Nothobranchius furzeri: one gene and its partners. The protein of the gene in region 3 interacts with the protein of the main gene of each other region in a pairwise test. Links are inferred from orthologs where the notes say so. Each region holds a gene or a part of one and is shown on either strand. Other genes may lie near its edges.

Region 1 (4,209 bases), on a different chromosome or scaffold from region 3:
AATCCTTTTTTTTGTATCTGTTGTTCTTATTGAATTTGTATATTTGACTTTTTATGGTGTATTAATACTGTTGCTACTTTTGCGTATTTGTTTTATGGGACGACGGATGGAAATAGGCATTTTTGCTAAATCTGGGGTAATTACGTTCATTAATAGGAACAGTCCCATTCAAATAATCAACAGTTTTAAATAGAATCTTTAGGCTCCTTGCTACTGACAACACCATACAAAGACACCATTTGTTTTAATTTCTCGCGTTACAACATCAATAAGGTGATTTCCAAACAGATACCAACTGTAAACTTGCTGGATTTCTATTTTTTCTTACTTTAGAACACTAAATCATCTTTTGGTTTTCCTACAGTGTTTTCATGACACCATCCTTGCTGGGATCATCCTAAAAATTGCCAGTGTCCATATAAAAAGAATGAAATTGAAAGATTTTAGTTTCTCTTCCTTAAGAAAAAGTGGAAATAGTTTGAGACATTTGCACAGAACGTAACCCCCTACCCTGCTCTGCTGTGCTGTAGAAGTACTTGTAGTTGGGATTCCCATTTTTGTTGCTGATTTCTGGATGGACTTTGCCTCTCGGATCTGTAAGTGGAACAAACAGGTTTTTTAGTAGTATGGTGCACGTTTATTGATGCTCCTTGAGTGTATGCAGGCTTTTAAATGTGATCAGCAGGGCAAAAGGGACCAGCAGCAAATTCCCAGGGAGCTGTCCCACCGATGGGATTCCTGTCAGGACATGTTTAAAGGCCCCGGTGTGATCCCGCTCCAAGAGCTGCTCAGGCTCTGCTATAGTATGTCGCTTCTTGAAGAGCCACTGCTTTTTTATCGTAAAGATCTCAATCGGGTTTTATGCAAATGAGTTCATACCGAGGAAAAGAATCCGAGGAATGTATCCACCGTCTGGGCTGAAGGCTTCATCCTTGGGCTCCTCTTCATCCTGTCATAAACAGTTACAACTTTAACTACCTGATGCATGACTGCTGCTTTAAGGAAAATGAAAACAAAATTAAACCAATTGCTGTTTCTCACCTCCACATTCACCATTACAAAGTTGTGTGCCAGTTCAGAGATTTCCTTGGATTCAGCAAATTTGGGCTTCAGGGCTGATTTGTAACAAATAAGAAAAGAAAGTTATTTAAAAATGTGACTCTTCTTATCTCTACTTGATAGTTTTAGAGTAAAAACTTTGAACATTCTGAAAAGAAGCCTTTCACAGAGCGAAAGCCGGTATGGGCCATTGCCTTCCTTGTTTTTGAGGAAAATCTGAGCTAAATGACAACTTCCTGGAAGTACTTCTGTGTTTTGGGATTGGCAAAAAAAAAAACTAAAACCAGATGGAAGTAACTCCAAGATCAAACGCCTCACAAGTCGGACCAACTTCACTGTTGCTTGTATTATTTATGAGTGCCAGTGGACACCAGAGTTTTGTCTGGCATTCCCAGAAAAAGAAACAGTAAGTAAATACCTTTGCAGGCTCCACACCAGCTCTTGTGGATGATGAGCATGATCGGCAGCCCGCTGTCAATTCACCAACATGGACACATGCATCAAAGTCAGTCAGAACAGTAAATATACAACGTAGACTTTCTTTATATAAACCGGAAATGCAAGATTTTTAAAAGGAAGGGAGTTGGGACCCAAATGAAAATGTTTCTTGTTCCTCCAGATAATATTTACACAAGAGGCTTCAAACAGGAAGCTACCTGGCTTCAGCTTCCTTCTTCCCATCTTCCAGCGTCCTCCAGTGGATATTGTCCCCAAATCCTGCAGGGTTCATGAGCACAACAGCATTGTGTAACTGGAGTTAAATTTCCACACAAGGGTGGGTCTGGCCTAAATACAGAATCAATACAAAGAACTGGGACAAATAACTAATATAACTGGTATGTTATGTTAAGGCTAAACTTTTAAGTAAAATAAAATCAATTATTTTAAGAATTGAACGAGAAACTTAATGGTTACTTTCTGTTTTGGTGGAGATAATTATTAATTTAATCAAATTGAATCGGAATTAAACAATACAGGTTTAACAGACCTAAAGTATTGTTTTATTTTTGCTTTAAGTCAAATGAGGTGTTTGTAGAAGAAGAAGTATCATTTCTATAGCGCCTCTCAAGATAAAAATCACGAGGCGCTTCACAAAAACAAAAAATGTAAAAATATAAAAAATAATTTAGAAAATGTTTAAAAATATATTTAAAATGAGCAAAAAATAGACAATTGTGATTAAAAAATGTAAAGAAAGAAAGAAAGTGAACAGGAAAGAGGGGAATCAGTGGACGAGGAAGGTGAAATAGGTAGGGAGAGCAGAATAAAGAGAGTGGTGAAGAAGAAGTTATACAAAAGCCAGCTTGAACAGGTGAGTTTGAAAGCTGCTTTTTAAAGGAGACCACTGAGTCCACTGATCTCAGGCTCAGGGGGTAGTCTTGTAGAATTAACTTTTTCGTGTAAGATTTATTAAAATGCATAAAATACATTTTCAAGAAATAAAGCATGAGTGTCTGGAAGTGAAACAAGTTAGTGACACTAGACACAACACGCCTGTTTATTAGTCTTCAAGGACGCACACAATGTGATCCGGGATGCTGACAAAGAACAGCAGCTCTCATTTCTACCACACTTTCAATGAAGCTGCTCCAGCCTGCTTAAAAAACTTATTTTCTCCTATATATGAACTCACCTCTCCCACTGGCGGCTTCCGCAACCACATCAAAACACGAAAAAGACAATAAAACCTGGAAAAAGGAGAAAGCAGCGACATTTACTACAGACAGTTGCATGTTTATTGCCTTTCTTTCCCACAACTGCGGCTAGCAGGCAATGGTAGTAATGGAAAGCTCAATAGTCAGTGACCCGGATGTGCAACCGCAACATTTCACAATAAAGGTTTTGTCTCGGAATAAAAATCTTAACAGCGCGCATGCTAGCCATGGTAGCGCGCGCGTGTGTCTCGCTTGCTATTGGCCACCAGCTTTTTTTTTTCCCATTTAGAGACGCGTTCACGTGACATTACATCTACACAACCGCGTGCTCTTCAATGCAGTGTTATGTCAAGCTAGACAAACAATGTTGGTATAAAACCGGAAATGACGACGAAAATTGCAAAAAATAAGTTAACCAAAGGAAAGCAGAAAGTTGTAAGTAATTAAGTTTTTGTTATTAAATCTTTGCTATGTATATATTAAATTTATTTCGTTAGTAAAATAGCATTTTTCCCCAAATTTGTGTAAAGTAATTACAATTTCTGCACGTGGATGAGATTTATTTGGCAAAATAATCACCGGAAGTTGTATGTTAGACTACTAATTTGACTGGTGTCTAATCCGTCTTGCTCCGTTCCTAGCAAACACAGTTCAACGGGCTGTTAATTCACAATCAGAGGTAAATATACCGTTTAAATTAGCGCTAAATATTTTATTTGATGTTGTGAAAGCCGTATCTTTTGGTGTGGCTCAGGCTTTAAATAGATAGTCAAAGTTATTTCACGGCATTATTTTACCGTTAGCGTTAGCTCAGTCTACCTCGATATTTCTCAACTAGCTAGCTTCAGTTAAGCACCAACGTAAGTTTAAAATAACTCATTAATTAATTAAATTAATTTCTTTATTTTGCTTTGTTTAAATTAATTTCTTTGATTTGATGGGGTTCATGTGAGTAAAAATGCTAACTGGCTTGTCTAAATTCTGCTAACCTGCTGCTAAGGTGTGAAGAAAGGGCTCTTGCCCAACACACTGCTTAGCTAGCATTCTTGTGTCTGAACGGCTAGCTGGTTGGGCGGTGTAAACTTGTATATTTGGGTTTTTAACGAGGATTTAATTTTTATTTTATTTGTTTTATTAAACCAACAGAACATTATGAATCAAGAGAAGCTGGCCAAACTTCAAGCTCAGGTCCGGATAGGAGGAAAGGTACAATTTAAAGCTTGACTTTTTGTTGTAGTTCCAGATGTGATGACAAATGTTTAGTAGTACTTGATTAAAATTAGTCGGACATTTTATTTTAAGAAGTTTAAAGGTATTTGGAGTCGGCCAAATCTTTTCTACTGACTTCAGCATTCTCTTTGTTAGGTGAAGCTCTGGCCCCTGCATCTGTGACCTTTGTGGCTTTGTGGCATTAACCGTCAGGTCTTCAGCCACACACTAGATGGCATTATTTTTAATTTTGTTGGGAAAAGTTCTTCCGGCTCCAGCAGCCACA
Region 2 (4,148 bases), on a different chromosome or scaffold from region 3:
TCATCTGTAAGCACTTTCTAAACTTGCACTGATACTAATTAAAATTGTGAAAACCCTGAAGATGCTTTGGGTTTAAGGTCTCAGTATGCTTCAAATGAACCTCACACAACAGGACTCTTTAAATCCAACTGCATTTGATTCAAATGGCTCACGGAGATGCACTTTAACTATAAATCTAATCATGTTTCAGTTTGTTTGCAAGTCATCACATCCATCTTTGTGTTTGTCTTCTCCCTTAATTCTTCCAATTTTCACTTTATTTTTTACAAGCTTGAACATATTTATCTGATGTGGGGTAAGACAGGTTGTTATCACACAGAAAGTATAGCCTGATGTTTATTTGTGAGGCTACAGAGATCACACGAGCAACCTGACTGAAGCATACCGAGGACTTAACACTCCTTCTGGACAACCAGACACCAAAGACTCACATTAAAAACCTCACAAACCAAATCCTTCATCCCAGTCTAGAATCTAAATATGTAATATTAGAAGAGGTAATGATGAAAAAGGTTTAGTTGGTAAATAGAACACCAGACAGCCTGTTTGTTGATAAATTGTAGTTTTATGTAGCTTTCATCTGGAGATTATCAGTAATTGATACATTATGACAACCAGAACTTTACGAATGTTTTTCTTTGTCCAATCTTGTGCAGGACTGTTTTGCAGCATGTTTGTTTTTTCAGCTCTGAATAGACACGATGCAGGTTACATGCATAATGGAATTGTTTGTGCAATAAATGAATGTAGAACCTCAAAAAGTCCAGTCTGAAGTTACTGACTTGTCAAATGGAAAAACTTGGTATGGGAACAATTTAGGTGTCGGACTTGGGGTTTAGCACCACCCGCAGGTCATCTGTGGAACAGAAGCATCTTCTCACACGATTTCTTCCCTTTACAAGCCTCCCCACTTCCACAGAGGCTTCCATATTAAAGCACAAACAAGTGTTAGTGATCAGTCTCATCCATCAGCTCATCATCCAAATCATCTTCCTCAGGAACTTCCTCTGGATCTTCTTTTTCCTCCATTTCATTTCTTGTGTCCACATTTTTCTTTGATACTTTTCGTAGTTTTATGTTTGGAAGTTTCTTCAGATCTCCGGTCCATTCTCTGCCAAAAGAAAAATAAAGTTTAAATATTCCATGATTAACATTACAGAATTACTGCATATTTATGCCTTCACTGAAGATGATCTCACTATTTCACTCCATGAGTGATTTGAATGGAAAATGTACCTGATGCATTTCCTGGGTGAGCAGGTGTTCGTTAAATGCAGATAGCGCAAACACTCACCTGAATGTTTTCAGATGCTTTGTATTGATGATGTCTGGAATCTCTGGGGGGGGGGGGATAAAGGAGTTTTTTCAGACCAAAGTGAACGCATGAGTGAAGCATTTTTGCATTGAAACAAACCAAATCCGACGCCTTCGTACTGCGCCTGTTCTCGCTCCACGGTCTGTTTGATGACAGCCTCTCTGGCGCCATGAAGACGACCCTGCCGACCTTTGATCCCATTCATCAACTTGATCTGTTCCAGTTCTGAATCAAATCTGTGAAGGTACCTGAACAAACACCAAGATCTTATAATCTCATTGAAATCAGTACAACTCGTTTATGAAGACAAACAGCCTGATGAGATTACTACCAACCACACAGACAACATTTGGGTCACGACGGTGAACTTTTTAAATGTGTTTTAATGTCAATATGCATCATACTGAGGTCAGTAATGTACCACCTAGGTTATTTTTGCACATCTAAATGTTTACATTCAATTCTGCATCTTTCTCATGAAACATTTGAGGCCATCTGTAATTTTTTTTATTCTATTTTGCATTAACTTGTGATTACTTTAATAGCCATTCAGTCTTTTGACAAAGAGGTTGTGTTAAACCACATCATTTTACACAGTAGTTTTCTTTGTGCGATTACCTCTGGAGGAAGACGATGATGCATTTCTGGAGTTTTACGGCCTTAATTGTCACTGAATTTTCAGTGTTTTGATCACAGACACCCTGATCAAATAAAATTAAAGGCTCAGCCCTTTGAAAAGTGTTGGCATGGAGTCTTTGAGCAAATCAAGTTACAAATATTACCAATAAGAGCAAAACAAGTAGAAAAGAAAATGTTTGGGACCTTTCAATAATCTCACAGGCATCTTTCCGGGAATAATTTGTCTTCGCTGAATCCAGCTGACTCTGAAACCACAGCAGCTTCTCACCTGTAATTTAACACCCAGATACAAGATGAATGAGTTTAATCATCTTTAAATGTTTGTATTAGTTCGACTCAAACACTTGTTTACCAATGTTGTTCAGACGCGCTGCTTTCTCGTTTTTCTGCCTGCAGCATCACAAAAGACATTTAGAACATTTCCATCCGGGAATTTTACTTTTTCAAGCCACTTCGAAATAAAACTGAGCAAAGAAATAATTTGTTGCCCTAGACGTCATATCTTGTAATAAATCACAATCCAAATACTACAGAGTTTCTGCTTTTGATGCGTTTTATTTAATTAATTAACAAACCTTTCTTTCCTTTTCAGTCGGTTTTCTTCCCGGGCAAGGTAAGCTGCTTTCCTGCTGTACGGATGAACAACTTTCTCCGCCGCTTTCCCCTTCTGGGTCTTCGGCTGCAAAATAAAAACTAGTTTAAATATTTTATTTTGATTCTATTAACCTTTAACTCGTATTTCTGTTGTTATAAACACAAACGAGCTCATGGAAACAGCCTCACCATCGTTTCAGAGTGAAAACGTGTGTTGAAGCTCTGTTGACACTGAGCACCGGAAACGGAAGTGGTCCGTCGTTGAATTGTGTCGTTAAGGAAACGTTCCGGATGTACACTTGTAATTGGACGGCTGCAAAACTTTCGTCACAATCAGATTTTTAAAAAATGAAGAAAAAAAGTTTTTTTATTGTTACTAGACTTTTGCAATTTCTTAAATGTTTTGACTCTAAAATTTGTTTCATATAAATGAAATAGGATTAAAATAAAAAATATTTTGCTGTAAGTACAACAAAGTTGCAAACTGATAGACAATTTTTTTGATCAAAAGAAATTTTAAAATGAAAAACAGTGTTGTTTTTGTGGTGTAAATAGAGCAAATCACTTGCATTTGAGCAAATAAATATATCTGTTTTGAGTGTGCTTGGTGCACACACAAAAGTATTTTTACATATTAATTTCGACAAATATTAACATCAATCCAGTCAACTTGTCAGTGTGAGGAGAGCAGTCACACTCCTCCTGCACCTCAGACTTCAGTCAGCTCTTTTATAGATTATGTAAAACAATAAGCAGAAAAAAATGTTTTTGTTCCTAAAAGGAACATGTGCAGAACTAGTTATTTCACACTGTTAATGGCTGAAAATCAGTCACTGACAGCATTTAAACTCAGTACAACTTTATTCATTTGGGGCCAATTTGTCACAAAAGTCACTTAAAACTGATATTTCAATGTAAGTTTGTTGCTGTTTATTAAAAGTTGTACAAATAAAAGAGCCAACATACTGCATCAGTTATCAATCTGAGCCAGACAACAGTAGGGAAAAACTAACAGGGAGGTGGATGGTCAAAGGATAGGACTGAAGCACAGAAGTGCATCCTGGGATGTCCTGGGGCACAAGCTCACCTGAGTTAACAAAAAGGGAAGTTTCAAAGGCAAAAAGCAGAACCAACCCCCCCCCCCCCCCCCCACACACACACACACACACACCTTTAAAACGTTCCTCTGCAATACAATAGATGGTTCAAGTAAATATAAGTAAAACAACCCTTAACAGGGTTTCCTGTGCTGGCTCAGCTCACGGCTGTCGCATCTCTAAGACATAATCAGAAAAAGGCAACGAGGAGATGGTTTATGGATTCACTAGTATAACAATTGTGACTCTTCAGCAAATAAAGTCCCTGTTTTTGTAAGAGAGTCATACATAAATTACTTACTTGCTAACAGTAGTCATGGGTTGGTGGTACATCCTCCAGGACAGAGCACCGCCGACTGCCTCCATACCATAAAAACAAAAAACATTTCTTTGTCTCTCATTGTCTACAGATGATCCAGTAAAATTTAAGAGTACTGGATTAATTATATTCTTGACAGACATGTGGTCCTATCCAACATGCAGATCCACTCTCAATATTACTT
Region 3 (3,650 bases):
CCGTGAAGTTGCATGCATTAAAAAATCATTTTGTGCATCATTGCATTTATAGATCTGTGCTTGCTCGTCCTCGTCTCCAACGCGTTCAAAAACATGCAGCACAGATCTCAGTTCTAATTCATTCATCACAGGAGATAATGAAGCGCCACCCATTCCTCGTTGTGCTTACAAACACAGCCTGCTTTCATTACTGGTTACCAGCATGGATCGTTTCCTGTGGTAAAATAACAACAGTCTGTCTCATGGAGCACCAGAAGACTAAATCTGTACATCACGCTCAGGGTATTCTCCGTTTGAAAGTGTGTTAGTCACTTTTCGAGCTCTACATTTGGATAGGGTTGCTGTGGGTCTGGAGGACAAAAGCCAATAGAGGTTTTTATTATTCCTACCTGCTCTGCACCTCCTGGTGGGAAGTTCAGCCACTTGGTACCATCGCTGCTCCTCAAAGTCATAACATTCCACACTCCTGATGGCCTTAGGAGCCTGACCTCCAACCACCACCATCACCTAAACACCAGAGAAACAAGAGTTACGAGGCAAGCTGTTGGGGGTGTGAAAGAGCTCGACCCCCTGACCCGTAGCCTCTGAGTGGTGGCCGTGTTTCTACCTTGGGACTGGAGGCAGGGGTTCTCATTCTGGTGCGAGCCGTCTTCATCAGAGCTCTCTGGTCTGCTGGTAGTAGGTGGTACTTCATGGCCTCAATCAGGTAGTCTTTACAAGCACTGCTGTTTTTGATGAGGGATTCCTCCTCCACACGCTGCCACGGCAGAAGAGGAACCAATCAAATTGGGTTGTTTCAAGGACAACTGATAGTTACTTGCTCTTTAAAGAGAAAAACAACAATATTATGCGCTAACTCAATGGTTCCTGGGGGTCTGTGACCCCCTAAAGGGGTCACCCACAATTTTGTCTGTGCTGAGGTTACCAAAACTACATTTGTAAAAAAATAGCATTTTGAAAATCCCACCTTACACACCCAATAGTATAAATCAAACTCTGTAAGATTTATAACTCTGAATGTCTGCATAAAGTTTGTAATAATCCCTTTTAATGTGCATATGTGGGTAGGAGTTGGTGTTGGGGGTCCTTGGCTTGTCTTGAACCCAGGCAAGTGTTGGGAACCATTGCGTTAACTGTCCCATCACTTGCATGTACAAAATGTGATGACTACTTCCATTTAAGTTAGGCTAACTGTGCCACACAAACAAAAATATCTAATTAACTAAACCTCAGATCTGTCGTTTTTTTATTTATTTTGAGTGAGAGAAGTGGCTGAAGAGTTTGTTGTATAATATGAGCATGGTATGTCAAGGTTGCGTCATTAAAGAGCAAGTCAACCCGTACCAGATTCTAACTCCACTCCCACTTCATGTTTGAAAAATGCAACAAATGCTGTTGCCTGGCAGACCGAGAGGGCGGAGCTGCTAACAAATACACAAACACACAGGCATTGTGACATCATAACGTACCAGTTTACATCATAGCATACCTCTTAGCCAATAGTGGTGGCAGATTTAAATTAGAATACAGTGCAGAGTTTTTACCTGACAACGGCACAACACTGACAGTTTTAGGCAGAATATTTAAATTTTAACTAAGATGCACTGAAGTGCCAAATTATTGACGACACGTGTCTGCAGCACGATTAGACACTCGTTTATTTAGTTTATCAGCAAAAAAAAGTTTATTTGGGGGTGACTTGCTCTTTAAAGTGACAATGTGTAGTTTTTACCATTCATTTCTGGAAATAATCAATTAAACTGTTGTAAATAAATTCAATGAAGTCCAGTTGTTGAAAAATATTGGTGGTTTCACAACACATAACCATAAAAATCTGTTCTAAAATACATGGGAGCGGGTCTAAGGCCCAATCTCAATACTCGCACTGCACCCTGTGGTCTTCAACAAAGTGCACTTGGAGAAAGAGCGCAGTAGGGTTTGAATGCATAGTACACAAGTGTGCAAATAATTGCCGAATTGAGACAGGGAGCATTGCGTCATCGATCGCACCGCACGCCGGGATGCTGGTCGCTGTCAAACTTTTTTCAAAAACCTTTATTAACAACTTTCAAACAACAAGGCAATTCTTTGAAATAAATTTTACTTCATTGCTGCTTTGTCTAAAACATTCAGAGCATCAAATAATCTTCCTAAAATGAACAAATTTGATTAGAAAATACATATTTTCAGAAAAGGAACTTGAGCCATTTCTCCCGCAGCAATGACTTGTGGGTAATACCGTTGCCCAAGGTCCACATCACTGCGGACTTGGGTGAAGTGCAGATTAAGGGTGTAATGGGGGCGTGGCCAACTTCCACGCTTGAGAATCGGGACACTCTACGCACTCGCACCCCTGGCCAGGAATGTAGGACGCAAGGGTGCAAGTGCGAGTATTGGAATTGGGCCTAAGTCTCTGGGCAACGCCATATTGGATGCCAAGTTTCAGTCCCGTGACAACAAAGTGCATTTACTGATTTGTAACAAATGGTTGCAAAACTTTCAGCATTAATAAAGATTTTTCTCTTACACGTTTACCTCTTCACTCGTTGCAAGTAATGAAAGGGAATCTGATGTTCTTGTTATTTTGCTGGAGGTTGTACTCCCAAGGATTTTTTACCCTAATGGCCATCTGTTGGTAAGGTCTTACACAAAAATAATGCTTGCTTGCAAGGATTTAGGTATCTACTGCCCCCTATCGCCAGGGAAAATACACGCTGTCACTTTAAAAAAGTAAAAATGGATACAGATAACTACCAATATTTCATTTTAATCCCGATATCGGCTGAAAGTGATAATGGGTGGATAATATCGGACATCCCTACTGAAGGTGTGAACGTCAGTGACTCTGCTCACTCATCAGTATCATTCCATGGTGATCTTCATCACCCCAGTGTTTTAGACTTGTCTCAGTCTTGCTTTGCCCTGACTAAAGCCCCGCTGTGAGGCACATTTAAATATGACCCTGCAGTCACCAGAACACCTGTTGTGTTACCAGTAAAATCAGAAACAAGCTCACCCTTTTTGATTTGATCACCTGTTGTCTTCTGTGATAGGAAGCAACTGTGAATTCTAATTTGAAGCCAAAACAACGGAGACAGAGAATCGATGTTTTCTCAGACACTGGTAAAACAAACAACACGCAGGCCAAGACCAGCGCACCTGCACCAGGTATTCTCTGGAGAGCAGCGGTAGACGAACATGCTCCATCAGGTGAGCCAAGTGTTCCTGGCGGACATCTTTGTCATGGTTCACCCACGCTATAACTGCTTCAAAGACCTGTGGAGAAATCACACCGGTGTTACGCAAAAGTAATTGGACTGGGGTGTAGAGCCCTGCACGGGACTGTTTTCTCCATCCCGCTCCCGCTGAATTTCTGACCATTACCGCCCGCACCCGCAGTGTGCATGTCCACTCCCGCCCGCAACCGCAAAACTCTGAGAAATTATTACCTCACAATAAAAGAGATGTATTGAGTTTGTGTCCTCAACATGTCATTTTATAGAGTATACCAGGGATCGGCAACCCTCGGCTCTTCCATCCATCTGATGCAGCTCTCTGTGCTTGTAAAATAATGAATGGATATTTAAATAAAATGCTTTATATTTTACTGAATTAATTTTATATCTATGTTGATTCTAAATGTAAAGATT

Evidence for each region.
Region 1: the proteins of klhl2 (region 3) and txndc12 interact in binary tests that used the Homo sapiens proteins (3 or more experiments, as listed by UniProt). The two-hybrid records come from large-scale screens. The link is inferred for Nothobranchius furzeri from reciprocal best matches to the Homo sapiens genes KLHL2 and TXNDC12.
Region 2: the proteins of klhl2 (region 3) and tma16 interact in binary tests that used the Homo sapiens proteins (3 or more experiments, as listed by UniProt). The two-hybrid records come from large-scale screens. The link is inferred for Nothobranchius furzeri from reciprocal best matches to the Homo sapiens genes KLHL2 and TMA16.

What each region holds. Positions count from the first base shown.
Region 1 is NC_091751.1:41,996,787-42,000,995, forward strand, and holds the start of txndc12 (thioredoxin domain-containing protein 12), read right to left. Parts: upstream 2,887-4,209; 5' UTR 2,793-2,886; coding exon 2,693-2,792; intron 1,777-2,692; coding exon 1,716-1,776; intron 1,531-1,715; coding exon 1,478-1,530; intron 1,116-1,477; coding exon 1,042-1,115; intron 950-1,041; coding exon 880-949; intron 595-879; coding exon 511-594; intron 1-510. Other genes in the region: transcription factor BTF3 homolog 4, read left to right, coding at 3,867-3,920. UniProt on the Homo sapiens protein: Protein-disulfide reductase of the endoplasmic reticulum that promotes disulfide bond formation in client proteins through its thiol-disulfide oxidase activity.
Region 2 is NC_091747.1:80,901,794-80,905,941, reverse strand, and holds tma16 (translation machinery-associated protein 16), read right to left. Parts: upstream 2,817-4,148; 5' UTR 2,741-2,816; coding exon 2,738-2,740; intron 2,634-2,737; coding exon 2,530-2,633; intron 2,345-2,529; coding exon 2,307-2,344; intron 2,223-2,306; coding exon 2,138-2,222; intron 1,564-2,137; coding exon 1,415-1,563; intron 1,338-1,414; coding exon 1,295-1,337; intron 1,112-1,294; coding exon 949-1,111; 3' UTR 546-948; downstream 1-545. UniProt on the Homo sapiens protein: Involved in the biogenesis of the 60S ribosomal subunit in the nucleus.
Region 3 is NC_091744.1:20,905,554-20,909,203, forward strand, and holds part of klhl2 (kelch-like protein 2), read right to left. Parts: intron 3,277-3,650; coding exon 3,160-3,276; intron 758-3,159; coding exon 608-757; intron 508-607; coding exon 390-507; intron 1-389. UniProt on the Homo sapiens protein: Substrate-specific adapter of a BCR (BTB-CUL3-RBX1) E3 ubiquitin ligase complex that mediates the ubiquitination of target proteins, such as NPTXR, WNK1, WNK3 and WNK4, leading most often to their proteasomal degradation.